Rhinolophus ferrumequinum: one gene and its partners. The protein of the gene in region 1 interacts with the protein of each later gene in a biochemical or structural test. Links are inferred from orthologs where the notes say so. Each region holds a gene or a part of one and is shown on either strand. Other genes may lie near its edges. The genes, in order: MAP3K11, MAPK8IP1 and MAP2K7.

Evidence for each region.
Region 2: the proteins of MAP3K11 (region 1) and MAPK8IP1 form a complex in vitro, tested with the Homo sapiens proteins (2 studies listed by BioGRID). The link is inferred for Rhinolophus ferrumequinum from reciprocal best matches to the Homo sapiens genes MAP3K11 and MAPK8IP1.
Region 3: of the proteins of MAP3K11 (region 1) and MAP2K7, one has a biochemical effect on the other in vitro, tested with the Homo sapiens proteins (2 studies listed by BioGRID). The link is inferred for Rhinolophus ferrumequinum from reciprocal best matches to the Homo sapiens genes MAP3K11 and MAP2K7.

What each region holds. Positions count from the first base shown.
Region 1 is NC_046294.1:6,096,222-6,104,139, reverse strand, and holds the start of MAP3K11 (mitogen-activated protein kinase kinase kinase 11), read right to left. Parts: upstream 3,037-7,918; 5' UTR 2,562-3,036; coding exon 1,826-2,561; intron 1-1,825. Other genes in the region: PCNX3 (pecanex-like protein 3), read left to right, coding at 4,768-4,920, 5,292-5,479, 5,716-5,815, 5,938-5,977, 6,077-6,172, 6,402-7,529. UniProt on the Homo sapiens protein: Activates the JUN N-terminal pathway. Required for serum-stimulated cell proliferation and for mitogen and cytokine activation of MAPK14 (p38), MAPK3 (ERK) and MAPK8 (JNK1) through phosphorylation and activation of MAP2K4/MKK4 and MAP2K7/MKK7.
Region 2 is NC_046294.1:14,967,475-14,975,063, forward strand, and holds the start of MAPK8IP1 (C-Jun-amino-terminal kinase-interacting protein 1), read right to left. Parts: upstream 3,081-7,589; 5' UTR 2,884-3,080; coding exon 2,783-2,883; intron 1-2,782. UniProt on the Homo sapiens protein: The JNK-interacting protein (JIP) group of scaffold proteins selectively mediates JNK signaling by aggregating specific components of the MAPK cascade to form a functional JNK signaling module. Required for JNK activation in response to excitotoxic stress.
Region 3 is NC_046301.1:56,873,186-56,880,304, forward strand, and holds the start of MAP2K7 (dual specificity mitogen-activated protein kinase kinase 7), read left to right. Parts: upstream 1-4,081; 5' UTR 4,082-4,155; coding exon 4,156-4,279; intron 4,280-5,980; coding exon 5,981-6,028; intron 6,029-7,119. Other genes in the region: volume-regulated anion channel subunit LRRC8E, read left to right, coding at 1-1,857. UniProt on the Homo sapiens protein: Dual specificity protein kinase which acts as an essential component of the MAP kinase signal transduction pathway. Essential component of the stress-activated protein kinase/c-Jun N-terminal kinase (SAP/JNK) signaling pathway.

The DNA of each region.
Region 1 (7,918 bases):
CAGGCCCAGGCCGGGCTGGCTGGTCAGTCCTGTGACTCGTGGGCCTGGAGAATTCCCCCTCCTCTCCCTGTCAGGCTTCCTCACAAGGCCCCCATTGTCCAGGAAAATCATGCCATTGTTTCCTGCCTGCGCCCCCCCAGTCCAGGGACATCCCCCCCAATGCCGCAGACAGCACCCCAGGCCTAGAACTTGGGCCTACAAGGTGGGAGGCCAGGCTCAGGAAGGCTGAGGGCACCCTCCCTGCCCTTCACCACCACCCAGACTCTGGGAGGGAAGCAGGGGAACTGGAGGAGAGTAGGGGCGCAATCCCTGGCTCCTTCCTCTCCCACAAACACCCCCCACCCCCAGCTCTTTCCTCCCCTGCAGGCAGCTGGGTTGGGGAGGGAGCAGAGGCTGGAGCAGGGGCAGGAAGCCGGCTCAGGGGCAGCAGGAAACGCAGGAAGCGGTGGGGAGGGTGGGGAGCAGGGGCCTGGGCTATTGTTCCATTTTTTCTGGAAAGAAAACTGGAGGAAAAACAGAAGACGGAGTCCCCTCCCCCTGGGGCCTTCGGGGAATCCCCCTCAGGCTGAGGCAGGGAATGGGGGTCCCTAGATGGCTAGAACCCAGAAATGAGGCTGAGAGGTGGAAACTGCCCCCTATGATAGTGGGTGGGGTGGTTGGCAGACATCCCCCGGCCCCTCCAGTCCTGGCAAGGACTTGGACATCACTGGGTTCTGGTGTTCTGCTCCGCCTAGATCCCTTGTCCATGGTCAGCCCAGGCCAGGAGGCTCAAAATATCCATGCTCCCCTTCCAAGAGCTGCCCAGTCCTCTCCAGTAACTCCACTGGCCCCTCCTGGACTTCCTTTTGCTCTATAGACCGCATCCAGGGCCCCAGAAAGCCCGTATCCCCACTACTGTGGTGGGTCCTGCCTCTTGGCCTTTGCTCTTGTCAGGCCCTGCCTGGCTATCCAACTGGGTGCCTCTCTGAACGCTCACTGCTTTTGGCCTGGTGGGAAGCCTGCCTGTTTTTGGAAGGCCTCTGAAACTGTCACTCCTTGTCTTGGGCCCATGCTGAGCACTGTGTGAGGCCTGAAATGGTTAGAGATGGAGTGCCTCCTTGCTTGAGTCTGCCATAGCTCCACCATGCCCACCCCAAATGCTGATTCCAGGTGAGGCCCTTTTGGTGATCTAACCCTCAAATGTCCACACCCACGCTTGAGGACCCACTGTGTGTTACCATCATACACCAGGGCTTGCCTGGTCCATTAAGCCATTCCCACCCCCCTCCCCTGTTACTCTCTTTATACAGAGTCTGAAACCGAGGCTCTGAATTGAAATAACCACCCAGGGGAGAGGTGGGGCCAAAATTCCAGCCCAGGCCCCAGCCTGGACCACCACAACCACCATGGTGGGGGACTTTCCCTTTGGAGAAGTCTGTTCTGGAGGAGCGGCCCATCACAAGTGGAGGGGAGTGCAGAGAATCAACAGCACAAGTGCGAACTTTAAGGGAGGGGAAGATGAGGAGTGCCAGCATCCAGCGCTCTGCTTCCTTAAGGTGGTAGTCATGGTTAGGCAGGGTACTTATGGCCCACCGGAGAGATCCCAATTTTTTAACTTGGCATCTGTGAGCTGGGGCCAAGGACTTCTTCTGGGGCTGGGGCATGAAGGACTCTGTTTGGTGTCTGGGACTTCTGCTTTGGGGACAGTGGGGATCCCAGTCAATTGGGACTCCCCCGGGGCAAGAGCTCCGGCCTCTAGTAGATCCCCAGGTAGGCTCAGCTGAGAGTAGGCAATATGTGTGTGCTTGGGCCATGCCACCCTCCAACCATGCTCCCCTCAACTCACTGTTGTTGGACTTGAGGTCTCTGTGGATGACGGGCACCAGGGCCTCACAGTGCAGGTAATGCATCCCACGGGCAATTTGCACAGCCCAGTTGACCAGCACGTGGGGGGGCACACGCCGCCCAGCCAGGGCACGGCTGAGGGGCCCACCAGCTGCATACTCCATCACGAGGCACAGATTGGGCTCCTCCAGGCACACGGCCTTGAGGGCGATGATGTTGGGGTGTGCCAGCATGGCGAAAAGCCGGGCTTCCTGGCGCACGCTCTCAGCTGTCACGCTGATGTCCTCATCGGGGTCCTGTCGAGCTGCCTTTACGGCCACCAGCTCACCTCGCCAACTTCCTCGGTAGACCTTGCCGAAGCCACCAATGCCTATCACCTCTTCCAGCCGCAGCTCCTGGAAGCTGGCCACCTCGCAGGGGGGCGGGCCGCCCCGAGACACATAGTTGGATGGAAAGATGCCTACCTGGCCGCCCACCTGGCCCGCCCACCAGCCCTCATCGCCTGAGATAGCTGCATCCCGGGACAGCACCTCCACACGGTCGCCCTTCCGCAGGGCCAGCTCGTCTTTCCCATTGGGCTCGTAGTCAAACAAGGCTGTCCACACAGGGTTGGCATAAGCCGCTGCTTTCGGGGACCCCTCTGGCCAGCCTCCGCTGCTGCCCCCGCCGCCCCCACTGCCACCGCTGTTCCATGACCCCAGTGGGCTCTTGAGGAAGAGGTTCTTCAAGGGCTCCATGGCTGGGAGCCGGCGTTGGGGTGTGTGGGGGACCTTCCCTGGGTGCCCCTGGTCCCCACCCCTGCTGGCTGGCGAGCCCTAGTCCCAGAATCTGGGCATCCGGGCCTTGGTCCTCAGCCCCAGACCCACGCCTCTCTGGGGAGCCAGGAGTGTGGCTTCCTGGCCCGCTGCATCTCCAGCTTCTAGAGGAGGGCCACCCAGGGCAGTGTGGTCAGGCTCGGGGGATGGGACCCCGAGGTCTCCGGTGTCTCACCATTGCCAGTTCGGAAGGGCCGGGGTGTGCCTCAGTCCCGGATCAGTCTTGGGAGCCTGGCTCCAGCACCCGCCAAATGTAAGGTGGGGCCAGAGAGGGGCAGCGCCTGGACTTCGGTTGGGTCTTTTTGCGCAGGGCTGGCTGAAGTGTCCTTAGTTGGGTCGAGCCGCCCCTTCCAGGCCCAGCTCCCTTGGCCCGACCGCTCCAACCCCCGTTCCCTTCTTCCTCCTCCCTTTGTACTTTGGCCCCGGGGGCGGGAGGCAGAGGTGGAGGGTGGAGTTTCACTTTTTTCCGCTCTTCTCCCTCCTGCAGGAAACAGCATCAGATGACGCGAGCTGGTAGCACCGCTCCCCTCTCAGAGGCTGCAGGCGGCTGAGCCTCGGGAGTTCCCTGGTAGGCGGGCGAGGAGGGGCAGAATGAGGGGAAGGGTACCCCGGACCCCCCATCACAGCGGGCTTAGGGTCGAGGTTGTTCTTTGCTAAGGACGTGCTACCACCACCCTCTGCATCCGCATCGGCAAAACTGGGTGAAAAACTTGTCTTAGGAGTGGAGCAACCCCGAGTCTGGTCTTGGTTTCGAAGTTGCAGAGCTGTGTGACCCATCCTCTCTGCGCCTCATTCTCTTCATATCTGAAATGGGGACCAGAAGCTCTGCTTTGCAGAGCTAGTGGGATGAGGGTGCGGGAGATTGGAGGAGGATGGAACTCGCTGCACCTCAAACTCTTGCAACGGGTTGTCTAAGGTTCTCCTTTTCCCCTCACCTGGGAAACAGTCCACTTCTTCATGCCCCTTCCCCAGTGGGCGGAAACCTGAGACTGTTGTCCAGTGATTGGATTTCAGAATAGCTAAGTCTCCCTCACAACCGCTGGGTTGACCCCACTTGCTTTGAACCTGTCACTTTAAGAAAAACGACGCTATCCTATTTCGACTATTCCCGCCTGTTCGGGAGGGTCGCTCTCTGCACTCCAAATCTGAGCTCTGACCCGGAAGTAGAGGCCGCTCCGGGTGACAGACGCTCGTGACGTTTGAGGTCCAACACTAAAAGGGGCGCACCCGTAGGGGCGTGCTCCGGTGGCGATGAACTCTCTCTGTGGTCCTGGGGAGTTCACGCCTCCATCCTTTTCCCCACCTTCGTAACTCATTGGGAGAGCTTTCCGCCAATTAACTCCGCTGCATTACCCAATGGCCACTCAACTATCCCTTTGGTTCCGCCCAGTGGTTTTCGCTAAATTGGCAACGCCTAGGTGTGCGCGTGCGCTCAAGCGCTTCCACCGCTTAGATCGTCTCTTCCCTTCGACCTGGACTCTGCGCACGCCCAAAGAGCTCCCCCGCTTCTTTTCGCTCTACCGCCTCCATGCGCTTGCGCATTCATGCCGTCAGGTTTTCCTTTTCCGGGTCCCAACTGAACCCATCGGGCGCATGCGCCACTGCAGGCTGGCGGCTCGCGGCTCCTTCTTCCGGCCTCCCCTTTGGGCCGGCTCCCGCAGAAGCGGGGCGAGCGCGGATCCCGGAGCGAGTGACCTGTGACCCCGGAAGTGGACCTCAGGGTCCTGGGGTTCTCCCCAGGCCGGAGCCGGGAAGCTGTCGCCTACACCTCCGGGCTACCCACCCCACGCCCACCTCTGGATGCCGCCGTCGGGTGCCTGGCCCGTGCCCCGCGCCTGCCTGCCGGCTCGGCCCCTCGGAGCGGTTCTGGGCCAGGGGTGGGGGCCCGGACCCCGCCCCTGATGCGGCTCCGTAGCCGCGCCCAGGCCTCGCCCCGCTGACTGCCCTGGCCGACCCCGCCCCCTGCCCGTACCCTCGCCCCTCGGACCCCTCTCCCCCGCTGGGGGAGGCCATGGCGTGAGCGCTAGGCCGGGCCCCGGGGCCCTCAGGCGCCAGGCGGGGCATGGGCCGGGGGCCGCCCCCATGAGGGTCCCGGGAGGAGGGCGCGCGCAGCAGCAGCGGCGGTGCCATGGGGTCGCAGGTGTTACAGATCCTGCGCCAGGGGGTGTGGGCCTCGCTTACTGGCGGTTGGTTCTTCGACCCACATCAGAGTACCTTCTCCAACTGCTTCCACCTCTACGTTTGGATCTTCCTGCTCACCTTTCCCTTCTTGCTGTACATGGTAAGACGCTGCCACCACCTGTAACTCCCGCCAGTGAAAGGGAGGGCAGATGGCACTAAGAATTGGTGGCCTGGCAGGGATTCGGGACTGTGCCTTGGGCTCTGGGGTGTGGAGAGAGGAACCACCGCAGATTTAGGGTGTGGGGAGAAGCCAAATTCTTCCTTTTCTGGGCTGGATGACCTTGAGTATCTCACGGAATATCTGTCTCCAGTTAGAAGACAGAACTACTGGTCGGGTCACTGTGCTAGTTTCACAGAGGGGCGATGAAGTCTTCTTGTGAATTTGTGAACGCTAGCGCTGACGGATGTGGTAGGTCCACTCCATGGGGGCAGAGCTGTATGAGGAGGAACCTGACTTGCTGCCACTTCCAGGTCCTGCCTCCCAGCTTGATGGTGGCCAGTGTATACTGCCTTGTGGTGGCTGTCATTTTTGCTACCATCAAAACTGTGAACTATCGGCTGCATGCCATGTTCGACGAGGGCGAGATTGTGGAGAAGCGCAACTCTACCTTGGGGGAGCCAGAGGAAGAGCCTGCCCAGGGGGACAACAATGCGCTCAGGTGGGTGGGGTAGGGGCTCTGTTGGGGATTGAGGGCTCTCGTTGCCTGGGCTTGAGCATTGGAGGATGGAGGAGGGGCTTAGGAAGCATTGGCTTCATGAGTGGGTCAGCACTTGTTCTATAATCGGTCCTGAAATTATAAGGGAACTTTTGAGGAGAGAGAAGCGACGGGGATGGCAGAGGTACTAGATAAAGAGGGTAGGTTAGCGCAATGCTGAAGCTCTTCTCCGCTGCCAGGGATCCCGGAGTGGAGATGACAGTGTTTCGGAAAGTGAGTTCCACACCCCCAGTACGTTGTAGCTCCCAGCATTCCGTGTTTGGCTTCAACCAGGTCTCGGTGAGTGGTCCTGGCCCTTAGCCTCTCCCACTCTTCTCCTGAGAGCCCATGCCCACCACGGGTATGTCCTGAGGCTACTTCCTGTCCTGTTTGCTCCTTTACACCTGTCTCTGTCTGCCCAGGAGTTGCTGCCCCGGATGGAAGACTCTGGGCCCCTCCGAGGTAGGTCGCTGCTGCTCAGGGCAGAAAGTAGTGGTGTGGAACGGGATGGCACGCACCTGCCCCGGGGTGCTGCTGCTGACTCTGGGGCCGTGGTTGCAGACATCAAGGAGCTGGTGCGGGAGCAGGGCAGTAACAATGTGATCATGACCTCAGCCGATCGAGAGATGCTCAAGCTAAGCTCTCAGGAGAAACTGAGTGAGTGGGCATGATATGGCGGGGGGTTGGGGGGAAACACTAGCTGTTTTGTCTCTGAGTCACCCAATTGTGCTACCCTGGGGCTCTCTTTGTTCTCCTGGATGGGTCCTCCTCAGGGTCCTACCCCAGCTGGGCTCTCAGAGAAGGCAGAGGCCATAAGACCCCTTAGCTACCAGTTCCTTTCTCAGTGTGCTCTTCACTCACTTTCTGCGTTCCTTTCTTCTGACAGTTGGAGACCTTCCCCAGACGCCCCCGGGGGCTGCCCCGGACCCCTCTCTTCCCAGCACGGACTCTTCGGAACGTTCTCCCCTGGCTGGAGATGGAGCCCCCTGGAGTGGGAGCAGTGTGGCTGACACTCCCATGAGCCCCCTGCTGAAGGGGAGCCTCAGCCAGGAGCTGAGCAAGAGCTTCCTGACCCTGACCCGGCCTGACCGGGCCCTGGTGAGGACCAGCAGTCGGCGGGAACAATGCCGGGGAGTAGGTGGCTACCAGCCCCTGGACCGGCGGGGCTCAGGAGAGCCCACGCCGCAGAAAGCCGGCTCCTCAGATTCCTGCTTCAGTGGCACTGACAGGGAGACGCTGAGCAGCTTTAAGAGTGAGAAGACCAACTCGACCCACCTGGACAGCCCCCCTGGTGGGCAAGCCCCTGAGGGCAGCGACACAGACCCACCCTCGGAGGCTGAGCTGCCCGCCTCACCAGATGCTGGAGTCCCCTCAGATGACACACTGCGTTCCTTTGACACAGTCATAGGAGCAGGGACACCGCCAGGTCCAGCTGAGCCGCTCCTGGTTGTGCGGCCCAAGGACTTGGCCCTGCTCCGGCCTAGCAAACGGCGGCCGCCCGTGCGAAGACACTCCCCACCCGGCCGTGCCCCTCGGCGGCCCCTGCTGGAAGGCGGGGGCTTCTTTGAGGATGAAGACACCAGTGAGGGCAGTGAACTGAGCCCGGCCTCCAGTCTCCGATCTCAGCGCCGCTACAGTACCGACAGCTCCTCTTCTACCTCCTGCTACTCCCCCGAGAGCTCCCGGGGCGCAGCAGGGGGGCCTCGGAAGCGACGGGCCCCCCATGGGGCTGAGGAGGGGACTGCTGTGCCCCCCAAACGGCCCTATGGGACCCAGCGGACGCCTAGTACTGCCAGCGCCAAAACACATGCCCGTGTGCTGAGCATGGACGGAGCGGGGGGTGATGTCCTAAGGGCCCCCCTGGCTGGCTCCAAGGCTGAGCTGGAGGCCCAGGCAGGGGTGGAGCTAGCTGCCGGTGAACCTGCTGTGCTGCCTGCCGAGGCCCGCAGGGGACCTGCTGCCAACCAGCCTGGCTGGCGGGGGGAGCTGCAGGAGGAAGGTGCTGTAGGGGGAGGTAAGTGCCAGCTGCAGGGTTGGGGAGGGAGGTGAGCCAGGTCGGGGCTTAGGTCTGGGCAAAGGGCAGACGCGTGGACCTGGTCGGGGTCAGCCCAGCCTCTGTCTCAGGCAGCAGGTGGATGTGGACTCAGCGATTGAGTGACACAATCTGCCAAACCCCTCAGATAAGCAGGGCTGCAGCAACGGGGAGACAGGCAGAGAGATCTCCGGCACCGTTCTCCAGGTCCTGCCGTTGGTACTGGAAGCCTCTGTCCCCGACGACTCGCAGCATCCACGGACATCATCCTGGGCCATCAGTGGGGCAGGGCAGTCATACTGTCCTTATTTCTAAACGTGGAAACTGAGGCACAAGTGGTTAGGTGACCTGGCTGGGCTCCAGACCCAGGG
Region 2 (7,589 bases), about 8.9 Mb from region 1:
TATCCACAGGCAACTATTAGTAACTGGTTGGGGCATTTCTATAATCAGAACAAAGAAGGACACATATTATTTAAACCAACTATCCACAAACAAACGTTCCCCACCCTTGCAGGTCCACATCGTGCTCACCCCCTCCACCACCTCACCTCTCTCCCAATATTCCAGGGCACTCTCTGAACTCAGACTGCCTGGGTTCCAACCCAGCTCTGCTACTTATCTAACCTCTTTATGCCTCCGTTTCTTCATCTGCTAAGTGGGCTTACAATAAGAATAATACTCTGTTTATATAGTCCTGGTAGGAACTCTTGCACAGAAAGTGCTCAGAATGGTGTCTGGGCAAAGTGAGCCGCTCCCACGTGTCAGGGCGTACCACTGGGCTCTCTGGCAATGCACTGTATTCTCTGTACTCTAGGAGGGTGGTGCCCAATTTTAAGCTTAATTAAATAGTAAACCAATAAGGCATTACTGAGCACCTACTCTGTGCTGGGCATTGGGCAAACCAAAGTTTAGATATTAACTCCTTACGCCTTTGAGAAGCTGACAGTGGTGCTGGGGCATGTGTAACACACACAGTAACAATAAGAACAACAACAACAATAACAACAACTGCATGAAGGCAGCGCTCCACAGCTCTTGGAACACTCAACATGTGTTGTCTCATCCAAGTCTAAGGACCGTCCTGCACAGCGGCCAAAGCTGGCATTATGGAGAAGAAACAGAGGCTCGGGGGTCGAGTGCCCAGTCTTGGGGCACACAGCTAAGAAGGCTAAGCCAGGAATCAAACCCAGGCCAGCTGGATCCACGACCCCACCAAAGAGCCACAAGAGAGCAGTAACTACCCAGGGTTAAACCAAACTGGGCCAAGGGCTCTGAGAGGCTGGACAAGGGAAAGGGCAGCGGGGGCGGCCACGTAGGGCTGGAGACACTGCTCTTATTATTCCCACGAGTGGGCTTTGTCTTCACAGCCAGGCCACCATGTCCCGGAGGGCTGGCCCACGCCTCAGCCTTGGTGTGCTGCCACCCTTGCCCACCTGGGCCAGGACTGGACACACTCACTGGCTGGTATCCACCCTGACAGCTCCTCTCGCTAAAGCGCCCATGCTAACCTGCCTGCCTGCCTGTGAGCACTGGTACCTGGGGATCAGGAGCCAGGTGAGGGGAGGTAAAGCTGTCCTCCGGGCCAGGGGCAGGGCCTGGAGGTAGAATGGACTGAACACGCACCGTAGCTGTAGGTTCCAGTCCAGCCTCAGGCTCTAACTTCCTCTGGGTCCTTGGGCAAGCCACCTGCCTCCCTGAATCTCAATGTCTTCATCTACAAAATGGGCAGACTGATCCCCACACCCGGGGTGGTTATGAGGGCTAGGTGAGCCGGCACTGGGAAATGCTTTGAACAGTGAGGAGCTATACACAAGCCTGCTAGCATAGAGGGCGGGCTGACACTTGGTAAGCACCGACGTGATATAAATTAAGGAATCAATATTCATTAGCTCACCTAACATGTGGCACTCAGAGAAGATAAAACCCTGCCCAGGTCATGCAGCTAGAAAGTGGTGGAGCTAGGATTTGAACCCAGGTCCTTCTAAGCTCAGTGCCCTCCCACTGCAGAGGGTCCTCCTGGTAGGAAGGCAGTGTTTGCACAGAGGCAGTGTGTGATGCCAAGTGGAGTCACTCTCAGACCTCAGGCTTCTTACTCAGGCACTAACCACAGAGGCCCCAGCATTCAAACCTCCTCCATCTGGTCCCCTCCTTCTGGTGTTTTCCGGGCTCAGCTCAGGGCCTCAGGGGAGGTTTCTAATCCTGATGATGCCATTAGAGACCCACAAAGGTCCCTGCCCACCTGAGGACCAGGGAACCAGCAACCTCTTGGTCAGAAGAGGGGCTGGCGCCAGAGACCAGCTGGGGCCTGGCTGAGGTGGGGGCCCCAGGAGACGGGAGGGCGCCAGCTCATTAGATGGAGAAACAATGGGGTACATCGAGGCCTACTTCTTCCAAGGCTCTGGAGCAGTTACACCTCCTCTTCCTTCCACCTGGGGCCAGGATTCTGAGGAAGGGACATCAACCCTTCCCCACAACACCTACTGTCCACTTCTCTGAAATTCACCTCCCAATTGCCTAACCCCAGCTAGGAGGCAGGGAGAGGGGTGAAGGGAAGCTCAGATTAGGGTCCTGGGAACTACTCCTGCAGGGACCCCCCCCAATATTCCTGGTTACTTCTGGGTGTCCAAACCAGACACCCCGTCCCACAGCCACGTCTAGAATCTCTGGGTTGAGTCTGAACCTCCTGCACCTGCACACATCTGACAAGGTCAGGACTTGTCCAAATCCAGGTCTGGGAGTTAGGCCCCTCTGGTCAGGCAAGGCCCATGACTCCCTCCTTCCTGCACCAAGGTTGTCCGTTGCCCCAAGAAACTGGCACCCATTTCTATTCAGAAGCCTTCGGACTGGGCACAGGCAAAGCCAGCCTACCTGCCTCCTTTGGGATCTCAACCCAGATTGCAGCCCTCCTCCAATTGCAGCTCAGAGTCTCCTAGCCTAGGTCATGGAATGGCGGAGGGAACCGCACCACGGATATGCAGAGGCTATCAGTTTAGACTTGAAGCTGAGGGAGGTTCTGGGGGCTCCGTCCAGGGAAGAGACTCCATCTCCATCCAGGCTGTCCCCTCGTTCCCGGGGTCTGGGGGGGTGGTGTGTGTGTGTGTGTGTGTTGCAGGCTGTGGGGAGAGGGAGCCTGAGCAGATCAGTCCCGGCTAAAGGGCGGGGCACCGCGGCCGGGGATTCTCACCTGAAATTGGGCGGCGACGCTATGTGCAGCCCCAGGAACGGGGAGGCGGCAGGCGGGGACGCGGCCCCCCCGCCCAGGCCGCCGCTCTCTCGCTCCGCCATTCTCGCGCACAGCCCTGGCCATCCGGGCGGAGCGCGGTGCGGAGGCAGCGGCGAAGGCGGCGGAGGCGGCCGAGGGGAAGGAGGTGGGGGCGTAGCAAGAGGCCTCCGCCGCCGCCGCCGCGGGGATCCTGCTGGGCGGGCGCGGCGGGCGCACCTGCGCAGGGCAGCGCGCGGCTCCGGACCGCACACCGCTCTCGGGACTGGCGCGAGCGCCACCGCGCGCGCCCCCGGGCCCTGCCTAGGGGTCTCGTGCGCCCCGCCCTCGCCCCGCCCCCGGGCCCGCGTGCCCCGCCCCTCGGCGCTCTCCGAGGTACTGAAGTCGCGGCCCCTGCCGCCCCTGGGTCCGGCCCAGCCCTGCCCTAACTCTTACACTGACTCCTCTCCCCTCGCCCCTCCCGCAAAGCCCTCCCAAGCCCCCCCCCCCATGTGGCCGTGCGAGCTCTGCCAGTTGGCGTGGGCTTAGCACCTGGGTGTCAGGTAACTAATGGCGGGCCCTTAGTTGGCCCTCCTCAGCAGACTAAGAAGGCGGACAGGAAGGGGAAGGTCGTGGAGGCTGGCATAGAAAGGGAAAGGGGGTTGGCAGTGGGCTCCTCGAAAGACACTGGGATCTGTGGGACACCCCAGCCTGACAGGTTTGGAGTCAGTTGGTGTGGCTTTGCGTTATGATGTACCCGTCCTAAGGTTTGGTTTTCTCACCTGTGAAATAGGGACAATAATGGTCCCTCACATGGTTGGTGTGAGGTTGAAACGTATCACAAATGTATTGTCACCGGACGCTGAGAACACTCCATCTCCTGCTGGGATCCAGGTTCACCCCGTCCAGTCCCATTACCTTGAGGGGACCCTTCCAAGGACTATCCCTAGAGCGTCTCCTCTCTAAAGATTGACTCAAGCCCTGCTTCAGCCCTAAACAGCTATTAATGGTTAACTGAACCCTTCCTCTTGGCTTCTGTTTCTGAGCTTCTCCTTTTTCATGTCAAGACTTTCCCAGATTTGTCCCTCTTCTCACTTATCCCTCAACTGCATTTCCTGAAGAGGAAACGTGCACCCAGACATCCAGAGCTGGCCTCTCATATTCTAAGACAGGGCCTTTCCTTCTGCCCCAGCTGTGGTTTCTTCCTGGCCTTCTCTTCCCTAAGAAGGCTAAGCCTGTGAGTTCTTTGAAAGCCTGGACTGCTGGACATGCAGGCTGCTGGTCAAGGTTAGGGCCCCAGCTTTGGTGGGTCATAGAGCCTCTGACCAAACATCACTGGCTTTTCTGGCCACCTGGGAGAATCACACAGGTCCTGCCCTTCACCTCTCTCTGAAGCAGCAGCAGAGCAAACTGCTTCACAGCTTATGGAACCTTATTTGCAAAGCTGGACTGCCAGCTGGTCAAGCCACCCCCTTTACCTTCAGTGTAGCATATGGAAAGGAGCTGCAGGTAGCAGGTCTGCAGTGAACAACCCCCAGCCCCAGCCATGAGAACGTCCCAATACCTAGAGCCAAAGGCCTTGGCTGCCTTTCTTCTCCCTGCCTAGACGGGTGGCCACTGTATCTTCCCTGCTATCTTGGCTCAGTCTCCTTTCACTACGCCTGAACAGTAACCACCTGCTGTTATGGTGCCTGGATTCCCAGGAAAGCAGTCCTGCCATAGTGGCTAATAATTGTACCTTAGTGTGGAGAGTGTGTTTGTCTTAACTAGGGAGTGTCCTCAGGTCAGGGGTGTGTGTGTGTGGGGGGGACAACTCCATCCTCCAGGACCTTTTGCTCAAGAACAAAGGTATCTCAGCTCTCCTAAGGCCAAGCCAAAGCCACATTAGAGAGCAGCCCGGAGAAAGGAGAAAGGGAAGGGCGGGACCAGATCTTGGTGGGAAAGGGGCCACCAGGAGCTTCAAAGCAGAGCCAAGAATGAGACGAGTTCCAGGGTCAAGTTCCTCCCTTTTCCCCTTTCTCACTCTATGCAGGGCAGAGTGTGATATTCTTGGGCCTTGCCTGAGCCCCCTCCCACAGGAAGTTGGGGTACGGCTAACAAGGCTCTAACTTCCAGTGGTCTAAGGCTGGACACCTTCACAGGAAAGCCCACGCACTGTGCGCAGAGAAGGGTCACTCTCTGGCCAGATGGCATGAGACAAGGTCAGCATCCAGGCCCTGGGCTTGGCTGTGGTCCCATCTGGACCACCTAGCCAGAGCCAGAAGGCTTGGACCCCTTCCGCACCACAGCTGCAGCTTAAGTGGCTGAGTTGAGGTAAAGGATGGATGGAAGGCCCGGAGAAGGCCTGCCCCTGACTGATCCCCAGCCTGGGGGTCTACGTGGGCCACAGGCTGGGTCTCTGCCGAATAGCACTCATGACCCTCCTCCAGTGCCTGGAATGCGCTATACAATTCTGGCTGATTGACCTCCAACTCTGACAAAGATGGGGAGCTCCGGATGCTCACCTAGGAGCCTCCCCCTTCCTCCATCTCTCCCCACCCCGCTCACCCCCGTGACCTCCAGGAGGGGCAAGAGGCTCCTGGTTCCAGCAGAGGCAAGAGGGTCCGGCCTAAGGCTTCATTCAGGCTCACCCTTACTGATGCCCACCCCCCAGACCTCCCACAAGACTGACGACAGCACAGCTTTGCTCATCCAGGATCAGACATTTATGAAACAAGTGAATATTCACAAACTGTGGGAGAAACACACCTTCCCAGCAATAGAAAATCTCTGTATAAAGTGCATTTTGCCTGTGACCATCTCTTACCCATGCTGGCCCTTGGATCAGGATTTGGGGCAATGCTCTATGGCAGCCCCCAGACCCCTGGGCCAGGGGAGGGGAGGCACAAAGCCATGGTGGAGCTCTGGGCTACTGGATGCACCCTCTCCTCACCCCGCCCCTCCTAACTCCAGGAGTGGACCGCTCCATTCCACTGGGAATGGGCCAGCATGCCAGGGAGGGTGAAGCAGGGGTAGGTGGTCTGGCCAGCTTTTACCTTAGGGAAGAGAATCCCCACTCAATAGGCAGGGTAAGGGACTCATCCTGGTCTGAAGGGGCTGCTAACGAACACTGACGCTGGCCGGAGCCCTCTGGCCTTCTCAGTTTCTCAGACCAGCCCTTCCAGGCTTGCTCTACTCCCCTTCTGGCAATAGTCCCCAATTCTCTTTCTCCTGGCTGGGGCTAAGGGAACAAGGAAGTCCCCAACCCAATGCTTCGAATACACACCGTCACCTGTGCCCTGCTCCCCACACATAATTACGGGACATTTCTAGTGAGGGTGACAAACATACAACGGTTAAACTCTAAAGGCAGCTCTCTGGCTGAGAACACCTGAGGACCTCTCAGGAAGAAGCCTGTCAATGTGCTGGACAGCTGATGGAGACAGGGGCCTGACCCCAGGGTTCCGGTCTGAGGACAGGGGACAGTGGGGGACAGGGCTGGGGCCAAGGGAGTTAACAGCTAGAAGACTAGGAAAGGCCACAGGGAGGTAGAGGAGAAGGCCCTGAGGCCAGCTTAATGTTCCATGTGAGGACAAAACTCCAAAGAGGAAGTAGCCTCTCAGCTACGCGCGCATGTAGCACACACGCACGCGCACACACACACACACACACACACACACACACACTTTGTGGCTCAAGTGCAGGCCGCAGTGGAAGGAAGACTTCTGCAGCTGACCACACAGTCCTTTTCATTATGTCTTTCTCAACACGGGCCTTTGACAGTGGGAGGGTTGAGGTGGGAGGCATAGGCCACTCCTGGAATGTAAGGCCTTGACCTCTCCGGGTCAAACCTCCCACCTGCTACTTCTGGAAGGGTTGGTGTGCGGAGGGGTTCTTTACTTGGACCTTTCCCAACTGGCCCTGGCAGTCCTCACGAGTCCACCTGCCTGGGTCCTCGGTGCCTAGCTACTGGCAGAGCTGACATGGCAGCTTGGACGCTGAACATTCCTGGGCAGGCTCTGGACACCTGCAGAACAGACTAGAATGGCCTCCCTGGCTGGCTGTCAGCTGACCTCAATGGCAGCACTGTGGTGCCCTGGAGTATGGCCAGAAGAGCCAGGAACCTGGCCTCCTGCTGGTGGAGGCACTGGGTTGCCACAGTCAGCTCTGAGGCTGGCCCTCAGATTCTGCGGAATGAACAGTAGGAACTGGGATTTTATTCCCAACCTTAGGTTTTAAGCCCGAAAAGGTGGCTGTACTTCCTAAGCTATCTTCTACAGTACCGTGTATACAGGTACTGGTGTACTTCCGTACGTGGTGGAAAGTTCTCAGATCTGTCCACAGCCTCATGTTCTGATCCAGATGCCTAAGGAAGGGTCTGGTCGACCCAATGGCAGGGAATTTTTAAATAGGAAAGAAGCCAGGCCAGGTGACTGTGTCTGGATAGCATCCGTCCACTCCAGCCTGCTCAGCCTCCAGGGTCAGGAGGAACTCAGAAGGGCTCTGGCTGCCTTTAGAATCCTCTGGACAGGAGCCAGAAATGCTGCCCTCCTGCTCCTCCGTCTGATAAGAGGGAGGCAGGGAGGGCTGGGGGAGGGGCAGATGCCAGAATCCCAGCGAGGGCCCTACCACCTTTAGCCTGGGCCATAACCTCTAGCCTGGTGTCTGAACGCTGAGGTGAAGCTGCTACAGGACTTCTCCGGCCTAGGCAGCATTCAGAATCACAAGAGTGTAAACAGATGCATGCACACCCTAATAGGCACACCACTCCTTCCTCTGCACACACGCGCGCACACGTTCGCTCCATCTCCAT
Region 3 (7,119 bases), on another chromosome or scaffold:
GGCCATGCTGCTGGACGAGCAACAGCAACCATGGAAGCCCAGGCAGGGCCAGGGAAGGCAGGGGAGGGTGAGAAGGAAAAGGTGCTGGCAGAGCCTGAGAAGGTGGTGACTGAGCCACCAGCCGTCACTCTGTTGGACAAGAAGGAGGGCGAGCAGGCCAAAGCCCTGTTTGAGAAGGTCAAGAAGTTCCGTGTGCATGTGGAAGAGGGGGACATTTTATACACCATGTACATCCGGCAGATGGTGCTCAAAGTCTGCAAGTTCGTTGCCATCCTGGTCTACAACCTCATCTATGTGGAGAAGATCAGCTTCGTGGTGACCTGCACGGTGGAGACCTCCAGGTTCACGGGCTATGCCAGCTTCTGCTGCAACCACACCAAGGCCCACCTCTTCTCCAAGCTGGCTTTCTGCTACATCTCATTCGTGTGTGTATACGGGGTCACCTGCCTCTATACGCTCTACTGGCTTTTCCACCGGCCCCTCAAGGAGTACTCCTTCCGTTCCGTGCGGGAGGAGACTGGCATGGGTGACATCCCCGATGTCAAGAACGACTTTGCCTTCATGCTGCACCTCATCGACCAGTACGACCCGCTCTACTCCAAGCGCTTTGCCGTCTTCCTCTCTGAGGTCAGCGAGAGCCGTCTGAAGCAGCTCAACCTCAACCACGAGTGGACGCCCGAGAAGCTTCGGCAGAAGCTGCAGCGCAACGCCAAGGGCCGGCTGGAGCTGGCCCTCTGCATGCTTCCAGGACTGCCTGACACCGTCTTCGAGCTCAGCGAGGTGGAGGCGCTCCGGCTGGAGGCCATCAGTGATATCACATTCCCTCCGGGCCTGTCGCAGCTGGTGCACCTGCAGGAGCTCAGCCTGCTCCACTCACCCGCCAGGCTGCCCTTCTCCTCACAGATCTTCCTGCGGGACCGCTTGAAGGTCATCCGTGTCAAGTGCGAGGAGCTCCGTGAGGTGCCCCTCTGGGTGTTCGGACTGCGTGGCCTGGAGGAGCTGCACCTTGAGGGGCTCTTTCCTCCAGAGCTGGCTCGGGCGGCCACTCTCGAGAGCCTCCGTGAGCTGAAGCAGCTCAAGGTGCTGTCTCTGCGGAGCAATGCTGGCAAGGTCCCAGCCAGTGTGACCGACGTGGCCGGCCACCTGCAGCGTCTTAGCCTGCACAATGACGGGGCCCGCCTGCTGGCACTGAACAGCCTCAAGAAGCTGGCGGTGCTGCGGGAGCTGGAGCTGGTGGCCTGTGGGCTGGAGCGCATCCCTCACGCTGTCTTCAGCCTGGGTGCGCTGCAGGAACTTGACCTCAAGGACAACCACCTGCGGTCCATTGAGGAGATCCTCAGCTTCCAGCACTGTCGCAAGCTGGTCACGCTCAGGCTATGGCACAACCAGATTGCCTATGTCCCCGAGCACGTGCGTAAGCTCCGGGTCCTCGAGCAGCTCTACCTCAGCCACAACAAGCTGGAGACCCTGCCCACCCAGCTGGGCATGTGCTCTGGCCTCCGCCTGTTGGATGTCTCCCACAACGGGCTGCACTCCCTGCCACCGGAGCTGGGTCTCCTTCAGAACCTGCAGCACCTGGCTCTCTCCTACAATGCTCTGGAGGACCTGCCCGACGAGCTCTTCTTCTGTGGCAAGCTGCGGACGTTGCTCCTGGGCTATAACCACCTGAGATATCTGTCACCTCAGGTGGGGGCCCTCAGTGCCCTCAGCCGCCTGGAGCTCAATGGCAACCGGTTGGAGATACTGCCGGAAGAACTGGGCAACTGTAGGGGGCTCAAGAAGGCGGGCCTCCTGGTGGAGGACACTCTTTATGAAGGCTTGCCAGCAGAGGTTCGGGAGAAGATGGAAGAGGAGTAAAGCCAGGGAGGGGCATGTTGCGGTAGAGGCCTTCTGGGTATTTCTGTCCCCAAATCTACCAATGTCTTCAAGGGAGGTGGCCAGGTGGGCCCAGGCCAGGAGAGGAGCAGACATGTCAGTCTGTGGGGCCCAGGCAAGATCCTGGGACTGGTTTGTCTGGGGAGACGGGAGTCTGTGGATTTGGGGTAGAATGTCATGGAGGGATTAACTAAGTCATGGAATTCACAGACCAAAACCACACCTGTCTTTGGCTGGCTGGCCTGCCCCCAGCCCTGGGCCAGACTGCTGCCCTTCCCCTGGACATTCTAGTTCAATCAGTACAACAAAAGGGGTGAAGACACATCCCAGTAAAATTTCAATCCTTCCCTGCCCCAAGGAGGGGATACAGACACAAGGGGCCAGTGCACACTGCCCTCACTTGGATGTTAATCCCTTATTTATAAGTTGATTCCCATGGACACGTGAACTCAGAAACATGGGCCTCTTAGTTGGCTATGCATCAAAATCAACATTTCCAAAACAAACACCCCAGGCCCCACCCCTGAAAGACTGACTCAGAAGCTTTGGCTGGAGGCCAGGAATTTGCCTGTAAATAAACATTCCAGCTCATTCTGACGAAGGTGGTCCTAGGCCTGTATGTTGGGAGATATCTGGATATATATAGCAGGGATTCTGAACCCTTTTTAGGTCCCTAGGCCCTTCGAGAATCTGATGAAAGCTGGGCACCTCCTTCTTCAGGAAAATGCTCGTGTACACATTCATGCACAATTCTGCCTACAACTTCAGGTCGTCAACAGATTCCCCCAGCTCCCCCAGAGGGCTACTGACGGATGTCCTAAGGCCGGCAGACACCAAGTTAAGAACACCGGCTGTGGAGGGTACACTGCTCTGAGGACAGGCAGGGACTTTGTCTCTGGAATGTTCCCTGTGTGAGGAAGCATGTGTCAGTGGGTGCTTAATAAACAGTCCTAATGATGAGAACCATCATTCCGATCTCGTGTCCACGCCTGTCACTAAGCTTTCCGTTTCACCAGACCACTTCCAGGCAAGTGGTGACATGTGCCACAGTCAAGGGTATGAGTCTCTGTCCTGGGTCAGAGGCGGAGAAGGGGGTAAGGAGGCGCCCTCGGCTAATCAGGAAAAATGAGGTGGCGTCTTCTGCCTAGGTTTTCCCTGGGGAACCCCTTTTCTTCTACTTTCCGTGTTATCCTCCTGATTCCATACTTTTGTATCTGCTCCCCCCATAAGTCTTCATCAGAGGGATCCCCTCGGCTGGACCAGGAGTGGGCAGGGCACTAGGCACAGCCTGCCTGAACCTGACCTGGGCCTGGCCCCCTCCAAGGTATCTGCAGGATGCAATCTTCCGCCTGGCACCCAAGAGCAGAGGCAAGCTGCTCTCCATGGACCCAGGATTCCAGATGGGGACATTTCCCCAGCACCCTTCAGACCAAAGGAATATTTAGGCTACAGGGACACCAGGCAGAGCCGCCGAACCCCAGGGCCAGTCTTTTGCATTGTCCAGGAGCTGGGTTCACATTCTGGGGGCAGGGCAGACAGGGAAAGCCTGACACTGTCCCACGCCAGTCTGACCTGGAACTCTCCAGCACTGACGTTGGTCCCGGTCGCCGAGGTCAGAGGTCATGCCGGTGGACAGTAGCTCTAGACCTACCCCGCCTCTCTCACTTGTCCTTGGCTAACCCTGAGCTTGCTGAAATGGCAAGGGTGCCTAATTACGGTGAGGAGGCAACAATTAAGCATAACAGAGATCCTAATGGACCATGTCCCAGGCGAGAAAGGCAGTTCTGAGAGGGCGTGGGTGCCAAAAAAGGGCCAGTCAGGAAGAGCAAAAAGAAGGCTGAGGCGACCAACCTCCCCAAGTCCCCAAGCACGAGCCGCCGGGCATGCGCGTGCGCAGCAGACGCCACGCGCGAGACCTCCTCTCCTCTAAGCGTGCCCGCCTTTCCCCGCCCACCGCTCTCTGCAGAACGGTGATTGTAGTTTCCACACAGCGCCGTTCACCACTGAGTTCGGGAAACTCGCGCGTGCGCATCACGGCGGAGACGTTGCACGTTGCCAGCCACTAACTCTAGGTGGTGTCATCCCTCGGGCTGGGACGAGGGACGCACGCGCGGGGGTTCGCACGAGGGAAGGGCGGGTGCGCAACACGGGCATGCGCGGTGCGGGGCGAAACGGCGGCTCGGCGGGGTCATCCGGGCGCAGGCGCAGTGCGGTGTTTGTCTGCCGGGCTGACGGTCGGCCGGGCGGTGCGCGGCGGCGGCGGCGGCGGCGGCGGGGAAGATGGCGGCGTCCTCCCTGGAGCAGAAGCTGTCCCGCCTGGAAGCAAAGCTGAAGCAAGAGAACCGCGAGGCCCGGCGGAGGATCGACCTCAACCTGGATATCAGCCCCCAGCGGCCCAGGCCCAGTAAGCACGGCGGCATGGGGGAGGGGGCGGGTGGGGCGGGGCGCTCGCCGCGGGAAGCCCCGCCCCCGCCGCCAGGCCCCGCCCCCGCTTCCGGGACGCTCTTGCTTCTCCGGTCCGTTCCCCCCTCCCCGCTGTCGTCTCGCGGCGCGAGGGTCACGGCAACCCGGGGGGCGGGGTGCTGGCAAGCTCCCGGGCGGCTCTCACCCGGCCTGGGTGATTCCCCCTGACGGAGCCTGGGAACCTAGTTACCTGGCTCCAGGCGAGGACCCCACCTGATGACCCGCCCCCATCATCGTGATCCTCGGAGTCTCTGTCACCTATTGTGAGCCGTGCTCCCCCTACCCAATCCAATCGGCCGTGACCAAATCCACGTCCTCCGCAAGCACATACACATCCCTTTTGACCAGATGGTTCCGCTCCCGTTATCTCGGTGACTGTGTCAAGAGGCCCCTACCTACCCCCACTCCACGCCTGGGTCCTTGTCATCCGGGTTCAAGGGATGGTTCACTCACACTTGTCCGGGGGACACCTCAGGTCACTTGAGCACACGTAACCCCCCTTATCCCTCTGACCAAGACGATTCTCCCACTCCTTGTGACTGTGTCTGGTGATCCCTTCTCCGTCGTGGGCTCTTGTCTTTGAGCCCAGCAGCCCCCCTCCCGCACACATTCTACTCACATACATGTACCAGGTCCCCTTCACTCCCTGATCAGTTTCACTGCCACCATCTTGGTGAATGTGTCTGGCCCCTCAAAAACACACACTCAGCCCCCAACCTGGAGACTTTGTCGTTTGGGCTCAAGTGACTTCCTTTTCCCCACATACCCCTACCCACCCAGCCTGGGGACACCTGAGGCCCATATGGTGGTATCTAGCATCCCAGCACACATACGCCTCCCCTCTAATTCCACCATCTCAGCACCTACCTTCCTGTCATCTTGTCATCTGGAATCAAGAGCTGTCCCCCCTGGGATCACCATGACCACATGTAGGATCCTTGTTATGTCCCATAGAACCCAACTCCTCTCAGCTGGAGGGCATCAGATTTCCCGCTGCCCACAGACTTGAAGAACAGCACCCCCATGACACTTACGTAGCTCCTGTGGGGTCATCCTGACAGGAGGGGAAGACATCCCTGTATCTGGGTACTCCCCAACCACCCCCTACTCACCTGGCCTGACCTTCACAGCCTTTCCTCGCCCCCGCCGCCGTCTTGTGTGTAGGGTCCACTCCCCATCTCTCTTCTGACGTGGGTCAGTGTGGGTGCCTCACTGAGGGGTCTTTTGGGGGCCCAGAGAAAGCCCCAAGGCGGTAATGCTGGCGTTGGACACTCCCTGGGGTAGGAACCCAGCCAGGACTGGAGGGTTTCTACTAAGCTCCAGGATGGACAAGACAGCGCTGGGTACGGGGCGTCGGGTGCCTACAGGGGTGGCTGTCCCAGGTGCAGAGCAAGGCACGGCAAGACCCAAGGCGGGCAGGCCCCCGAGGAGCCCCCTGCAGGCATCTGTGTGTGTCAGCGTCAGCTCCATCCCCTCCTGCCGGTCCTCCCATCTGTCGGTTTCCACCCATCTCTGCAGTTTGGTGCCTCGTGCCTCCCCCCTCCTCCTCGTTATGATTTGATTTCTTTTCTTTTGGACAAATCGGTTGTTTCTGTTGTGATTTATCGTGGTGTTGTTTTTTTTCTTCCTTTTCCCCATCCAGTTATTGTGATCACTCTAAGCCCTGCTCCTGCCCCGTCCCAACGAGCAGGTACCAGCCTTTTTATCATCGCCGCTTGGACATCTGCACCGTTGACCTAACCGCTGCCCTAGCCGCAGAATGCCATCCCCCTCCCCCCGTGCTCTGTGTGTGTGAGCGCCCCTGCGTGCGTGCGCATCTCCTCACTCACTGTCCCTCTCACTCCCTCACTTTCTCTTTCCCTACGGTCAACATCAGGCCCACCTGGCCTCTTCCTGTGTCCTCTCTCCTCTCTGTCTCTTGGGTGCAGGTTTGGACCCCCTGGTGGAGGACCTGGGCTCCCTCATTGACTGGGAGTCTGTCACCTGTGAGGGGGTCATGCATGTGCGTGTGTGTGCGTGCGTGAGTGTGTAGAAGTAAGAGGGAGAGAAAGGGGGGCCAGCATGTTGGCTGTGCCTGTTTATCCATTTCAGTAATTCAGGGGACACGTCTTGGCCCCTGGGTGCTGTACCTGTTTTAGGCTCGGGATACAGCAGTGAACAGAACCGACCAAGTCCCGCTGTGCAGCTGATGCCCCACTAGGAGTTGAAGGGGTGAGAATAGTGAGCGCCTCCTGACTGGGGAGAACTGGAGAAGGCGACAAGTACTGGGGAAAGCAGAGGAGAGCAGGCTTGGGGGTTCTGTAGGGGGACTGTTGGGGGAAGCCTCTGGAGAAGGTGGGGTTTGAGCAGTGTCTTGTGGGAGGGGCGGGGAGCATGTGCACAGCCCTGCCAAGGCCTGAGTACAGGTGCCAGCGGGTCTGGCTGGAGTGGATGTATGTGGGGTGTGCCCATGCATTGGGTCGGTGGTGTGTGAGAGACCGGGCTGGGGTCTGTCTGGTCCTGTTGGTCCTTGTGTGTAAGTGGGATATTAGGCAGTTGAATGTGTGTAAGTGTGTGTGTGTGTGTGTGTGTGTGTGTGTGTAAGATGGTGTTGGGGGCTCCGTGGTCTATTATCTGCCCATCTGCATGTGTATGGGGGTTAGTGCCATGCCTGTGTGTGTGTGTGTGTGTGTGTGTGTGTGTGCGCACACCCCTGCTGACTGACAGCCTGGTACAGCTGTGGCTCCTGACAGCCCCCATGTCCTCTTGTTTTCTCTCATTCATTCATTCATTTATTCATTC